Cricetulus griseus: one gene and its partner. The protein of the gene in region 1 interacts with the protein of each later gene in a pairwise test. Links are inferred from orthologs where the notes say so. Each region holds a gene or a part of one and is shown in the gene's direction. Other genes may lie near its edges.

The links.
Region 2: the proteins of Nab2 (region 1) and Tceanc interact in binary tests that used the Homo sapiens proteins (3 or more experiments, as listed by UniProt). The two-hybrid records come from large-scale screens. The link is inferred for Cricetulus griseus from reciprocal best matches to the Homo sapiens genes NAB2 and TCEANC.

The regions. Positions count from the first base shown.
Region 1 is NW_023276806.1:130,082,058-130,085,717, forward strand, and holds the end of Nab2 (NGFI-A-binding protein 2), read left to right. Parts: intron 1-180; coding exon 181-314; intron 315-595; coding exon 596-647; intron 648-739; coding exon 740-872; intron 873-1,072; coding exon 1,073-1,264; intron 1,265-2,213; coding exon 2,214-2,323; 3' UTR 2,324-3,073; downstream 3,074-3,660. UniProt on the Homo sapiens protein: Acts as a transcriptional repressor for zinc finger transcription factors EGR1 and EGR2. Isoform 2 lacks repression ability.
Region 2 is NC_048604.1:101,283,263-101,286,596, reverse strand, and holds the end of Tceanc (transcription elongation factor A N-terminal and central domain-containing protein), read left to right. Parts: coding exon 1-313; 3' UTR 314-2,732; downstream 2,733-3,334.

The DNA.
Region 1 (3,660 bases):
CCTCAGATACAGAGGAGGTCCTGGTTGGGACGCTATGAGTCCCTCCCGTCTAACCTTCGGGATGTTCCTGGGTTTTATTTAAAGCTAGCATCCCTTGGATGGGCTCCCCCTCCCCCCTGGCGGTGAAGGGGTGAAACAGTAGGAGAATCGGCATTCACACTGGCTGTCCTCTTGCCACAGCTGACCATCAACGAGGCTGCTGCCCAGTTCTGCATGAGGGACAACACACTTTTACTTCGAAGGGTAGAACTCTTCTCATTGTCCCGCCAAGTAGCCCGAGAGAGCACCTATCTTTCCTCCTTGAAGGGATCCAGGTGAGACCCCCCCCCCTTCCCTGGGCCACCTTTGGTTGGAATCCTGCCAGAGTTGGACATCTCCTCACTTGCAGCTCAGGCAATTCCAGGCCTGCTTCCCACCTACCTGCATGTCTTCCTCTTGCCAAGTCAACTTGTCCGAGGCCTGCTCTTCACTCCCAACCCCCCACAATAATGACTGGAGATGCCTATCCAACCAGCCTCTTGGAGTTTTCCTGGCCAGATTGTGTTCCCTGTGCATCCTGGAGCCCTCCCTAACCCTGCTTTCCCTATTCTCCTAGGCTTCACTCTGAAGAGTTAGGAGGCCCACCACTGAAGAAACTGAAACAAGAGGTGTGGCTTGGGGCTTAATGGGACAGGGCAGGATAGCCTACCCTGACCACTGCTTTGCTAGGTCCTCATTTCCCAATTTTGTGCATCCACAGGTTGGGGAACAGAGTCATACCGAAATCCAGCAGCCTCCCCCAGGCCCCGAGTCCTATGCACCCCCATACCGCCCCAGCCTAGAGGAGGACAGCGCCAGTCTGTCTGGGGAGAGCCTAGATGGCCACTTGCAGGGTGAGTGCATTACTGTCTGCTTTGGGAGGAGGTGGGAGTGGGCGGGTGGGTTACAGGAGTGAGCCAGGAGTCAACTGCCTGGAGCAGGGCTGGGAGGTCTGGCTGGATGGGGACAGAAGAGCCTATGGGAATGACTTGTCGGTTGAGGGTGGGTACCGTTGGCGGCAGCCCCCTGACCTGACCAGTGCCCATGCCCACAGCTGTGGGGTCGTGCCCAAGGCTGACGCCGCCCCCTGCTGACCTGCCCCTGGCATTGCCAGCGCATGGGCTATGGAGCCGCCACATCCTGCAGCAGACACTGATGGATGAGGGGCTGCGGCTCGCCCGCCTCGTCTCCCATGATCGCGTGGGCCGCCTCAGCCCCTGTGTGCCTGCGAAGCCGCCTCTCGCAGGTGAGGCAGCCAGCAGTGCTGTCCCTAAACACCCCAGGCCCACACAGGGTCCTTCTTTTGTAGGACCAGAGGGGAGGAAGAGGGATCCCATACCACTGTCAGGCGCTCCAGCTAGTCAGACCTTGAACAGGGGCAAGCTACTGCTGGGTTGTTTACGATGGGTAGGGTCTGGGCCAGGTGGGGATCGTTGACATGGGGGAGCAGGGAACAGAATGAGGTGTGAAGGTGAACAGTAGAATCAGGAGTAAGGGAAGCCTGGCTAGAACTGCCTAATGCCGGGGTGTGGAGTCGCGGGGAGTTGTGGGGATAGGGTTCCCCAGCTTGGAAGCCAAGGAGCCCAGAGCTGGGCGCTTTTGTGTGTGGATAGGAAAGGAGTAGGCCGGCAGAGGGCCGGGCAGCCGCTGGGCTGAGAGTGACGCAGCAGACAAAGCCACCAACCCTGGCTTGGTATTTTTAAACTCTGCGTGGGTGGGGGAGTGGGGGCGGGGACTGGAGGGGGGGCTTTTCTTGAGGGAGAAGCTGGGAGTCTAGCTTCCTGTGTTTCCCCTGATTTGGCTACCAAAAACTCGGGGGGGGGGCACTTGTAGGGTAGGTGGGCCTGGGAGGGGGGCCAGAGATGAGTGGGGGCGGCTGGGGAGGGGGAGGGGGAGAGGTCAGAGCCAAGCCGCCCCCGCAGCTCCTGACAGAACCAGAAATTCCAGCAAGAGCAGAGGCGGGCGAGACAGAGAAAGAGAGAGACACACAGAGACAGAGAGCTACACACAACCAAAACAGGAGGGGAGCTGCATACACTTGGTCATGGAACCCCCGTGCACACACAGTGGGCAGGAGGCTGTAATTGAGTAACAGGAGCAATCTTCACATTTTTCTGTGCTGGCCTCACTCAGAACAGCTAGCTCTTCAGCTCAGCCTCCATCCTTGTCTCCTAACCCACACCTTTTTCCTACAGAATTCGAGGAAGGCTTGCTGGACCGATGCCCGGCCCCAGGACCTCATCCCGCTCTGGTGGAGGGTCGTAGGAGCAGTGTGAAAGTGGAGGCCGAAGCCAGCCGGCAGTGAGAGTGGGGATGTCTCAGGCCCAGGACCCAGACTTCTGGCTCACTCAGACCCCCATATTCTCCATCCTTGAACTCTAGTCACCACCCTAGAAGGATCCTTCTGCTGCCCTTCTGCCACCCATCTGCCCCATGGGCACAGGACTATGGGGCTTCAAGCAATAACAAGCAGGGGCCTGGCCAGAGGACACTAGGAGGGTGCAAGGTGCGCCCTCACCCGGCTCAGGGGCATGGACTTTGCCTACAGCCTGCTGGGGCTCTCCCTACACACACACAGACACACACACACAGACACACACACACTCTCCCTCTCTCTCTCCAATCGGCGGCCACCAGTGGTATGAACAGGCTGGGATCAGCTTGGATGTGGGGGAAAGAACTTCCTGAGAAGGTCTAGCAGTTGAAAATGGCTCTGTTCGCCCTGATACTGGGGTCTCCTGGAAAACTGGATCTCCCCATCCCCATTTTTTTTTTGTGCTTCTAGTCTGTTTCTTTTAATTTAACAAGTGCTGCGGTTTGCCCACCCATCCTCATCACCCCCCCTCCCAGCAGTTCGTTCTTGTACTGTGTGTGAGGGCTCCCCACAGTTCCCTCCACCAGCCTCTTAGAGGCCTGGGTTAGACCCTGGGTCTCCTCAGTCCAGCAGGAGGACTGCAGCACCTGTCAAACTCTTAGAGTGTCTTTCTTTTCAGATTGTGTACAGTAGATTATTTATTTTGTTATTTTGGAATAAAATTTATTTTATGGCTTAGGATCCATGATCCCCCCTCCCCCTAGGGAGGGAAAAGGGGACGGCATGAGGTGTGAATGGAGAGAAGCCGGCAGTGGATGGGAAAAATAAAAGAGCAGGTGGGGCCACCAGCGCCCAGGGCGTTACACAGCGAGGCCTGTACCCCCCTATTCAGTCCTCAGGCTCTAGAAAACACAGGAAGCATGGAGTCACCAAGGCTATAGCTATATGCATGTCACAGCCAGGTAGTTATGCCCAAAATGACATTGGGTTACTCTGAGCCTTTCAAATATGTGTTGTCACACAGGCAAAAGCAGAGATACGTGTCCTGTGTGGTCATATAGTGAGTGTGTGACATCTGTAGGTTAACATGTCTCAGGTAAACATTGGTACAGCTACACACACAAAGAAGCCTAGCTCTTGTGAGGCTCACTCTCAACTGTCACAGAGCCTCTTTTTGGCAAGAATTTGGAGCTTTGGAGGAACTTGGTTTTTAATCATTACCAGTAACCATATGCCTACACCCCCCTTTTTCCTCCCACCCAGGGTCTCCTGAACCCCTGCTTCAATGCCCTAAATCTATACCCTCTATTGGAGGCACAGTGTCTTAT
Region 2 (3,334 bases), on another chromosome or scaffold:
CATGTCTGCAAGAGAATTTGCTGAAATGACTGTCCTGGACATGGCAAATGAGGAACTGAAGCAGTTGAGAGCTTCCTACACAGAATCCAGTATTCAGGAACATCACCTTCCCCAAACAGTTGAAGGCACACAGACAAATAAAATAAAGTGCAGGCGCTGTGAGAAATATAACTGCAAGATCACTGTAATTGCAAGAGGAACACTTTTCCTTCCAAGTTGGGTGCAGAATTCAAATCCGGATGAACAAATGACCTATGTCATTTGTAATGAATGTGGGGAGCAGTGGTACCATAGCAACTGGGTGTGCTTGTAATTTGTAAATAATCCCTTCAGGGGTGTGTGTTTTATGTGTATAACATAACCCTTTTGTGTTCATTTTTTATAGAATCTTACTGCTATTTTGTCTTTGGGATTTTGGCTTGTGAAAGATCTTACTATGCAAGCACAGTTAGCCTCAGTCTCCTCAGAGCTGGAATTACAGATATACACTACCACACCTGGCTTGGTATACTGTTCTTACTACAGTCCTGGGAATAAGGAAAGAGAGTTGTTTGCCAAAGTGCAGGCCACCATTGTTAAAAAGTTGTTTGGGAAAAGTACAAGACTATCACGTTGTACTTGTGGCCATTCAGAGTAGCACAGTAGCTCTACACAGCCTGAGATCATGTTAGAGAGGCAGACTCTCTGGACTGATACTCTTTGAATCCTGATCTGCAACTTGGTAGAATCCCCAGGTCATCCTCTGATAAAGTTGCAGGCCTGTGGGTTTCAGAATGACTATACATTAGAGTTTTCTTGGGCGCATTGAAGTATACTGGTGCTGAGGGCCAAGCCTAGAATAATTCAGTCTGAACCTATGGCGTGGGACCCAGGCATCAACATTGCTCTGGTTATTTCTTAGTTTGCTTTAAGTTGTTGTTAGAGTTGAGAAATACCTGTAAATAGTCTCATTTGAGCCTTTCTATAGTTCTGAAGAAATGAATGATATTCTGGAGACTTACAGATGAGGAAAGAGGCCCAGAGATCTTCAGTGACTTAACCAGGTTACATAACTGTAGGTAGTCTGCCTCACACTGATCCCAAATTATATACCTTCCTTCTGAAGCAAGTGTGATGGCACATGTCTGTAATCCAGATGCTAGGGAGGATGAAGCAGGAAGGTTTATGTGAGTTCAGGGCCAATTTAGATTGTAAAGTCCCTGTCTCAAAAAAATAGTACAAGTACATTGTGGTGCTTCAAATACATAATCCTAGCATTGGAGATGCTGAGGCAGACTCCCATGGATGAAGCCAGCCTGGGTTTTGTAGAGAAAGAATGTCAAAACAAAAAGATGCACAGTCTGAATATGACTTCCTATTGACTATGCAAAAAGTGCACTCCTGGAAATGGGTGCTAAGAAAATAGTGTTTGGGGCCTCTTAAGTTTACATGACTAGAGTTTTATCCTTTTGTCCTTGATTTTCTCATTTTTACAAGTCTCTCTCTCCTTTTTTTTTTTTTTTTGATTTTTCGAGACAGGGTTTCTCTGTGTGTATCTCTGGCTATCCTGGCACTCGCTCTGGAGACCAGGCTGGCCTCGAATTTACAGAGATCCACCTGCCTCTGCCTCCTGAGTGCTGGGATTAAAGGCGTGCACCACCCCACCAACGCCCGGCACAAGTCTCTCTTAACCTATTAAAAGTTGCACTGTGAGTTAGAATTTGGATTAGAGCCTGCTTTCTTAGTTAAATGAGCTGTACATATTTCCCTTTGTGTGAGCTTGTCTTTATCTTCTTTATTATACATAGTTTATTGATGTCAGGAATCTTCATGTCTTCAAAGGCATGTGTGTTCACTCCCTCAGCCTTTGAATTTATCAACATTCATTTACTAACTAACTGAAGTGGAAATCACTTCTCTAAGGCCTTTGTTTACTGATTTATATGCTTAAACACAACAAGCCTCTTGTTTAATATTACTAATTTTTTTCCTTAAAAATGATATAATGTTATTTGGGGTTTTGATTCTTTAACATGTAAATCAATTTTATGCATAATCCACACAGAAGGTTACCATGTGGTTAGATATGCATTTTTTCTTTTGTTGTTTGACAGAGTATCTATTTTTATAAACCTGACTCCACTCTGTAGCCTAAGCTAGGCTCGAACTCCTTCTGGCCTCAACCTCTGGAGTGCTGTAATTTGGGGTATAAGACACCATTCATTGATTTTATCATATTAAAGAATTTATTTCTTAGTTCCATGTAAACTCACATGTTTTCATCAATTATAGTGCCCTAAATCCCCAGTATTCCTTCAGTGGAATCTATAGGCTTTTCTTTATGTATATTTTACCTCTTTATGACAGTTCCCCCAGTGGGTGCATAAAACTAGCAGATATTTCTATTTCCTGTGTTTTGAGGCTGTCAAGTCTGAATTATATTTTGTTTTATTTTCTTCATTTTGCATTCCAGTGGTGTTCATTATAATGTAATGTGTTAGTCCTTTAAACAGAAACTTACAAAGTCATCAACAACTCAAAAGTTTCACAAAGTGTGGTTTCATGTGACTTGGAATGATCTTAAAACCTAGATGGTGGTTGTGCAAGAGTGCACACAGCACATGAAAACCATGTTTAATTTGTTCAAGTCAGTGTTGGTATTTGGGTTTTCTATGTATCTGCATATAAGTACTAATATTGAGATTTTGTAATCTACATTTACCAAAAATAAAAGTACTTGAACTGGAAAAATCTCTCATTCTCCAAGATTTTTTTTTAAATATGTGCGGTCTTTCTCATTTCCCATAAGCTTTGTCAGTTAGTTTTGCAACTAGGGAAATGGTGATGTGTGTTTTATTCTTTTGGTCAGTGAGACAGTTACATTTTCTGAGTACAGATAATTCTTTCACATTGTAGCTCATCTCAGAGATAGAAAGAAAGGGAGGGAGGAGTGAGTTTGTTTGTTTGTTTGTTTGTTTGTTATAGGGTTTCTTTGTGTAGCCTTTGCTGTCCTGGAACTAGCTTTGTAGGCTGGCCTTGAACTGACAGAGATCTGCCTGCCTCTGCCTCCTGAGTGCTGGATTAAAGGCTTGCAAGAAGTGTTTCTTTTTCTTTTCTTTTTTATTTTGGTTTTTTTCGAGACAGGGTTTCTCTGTGGCTTTGGACTGTCCTGGAACTAGCTCTTGTAGACCAGGCTGGGCTCAAACTCACAGAGATCCACCTGTTTCTGCCTCCTGAGTGCTGGGACTAAAGGCGTGCGCCACCATCGCCCAGCAAGAAGTGTTTCTTTACAGTTGCTGGTGGGGTTGATTCTCTTATAGGAACAAAGAGCAACTCTACAAACTCCAAGATGAGA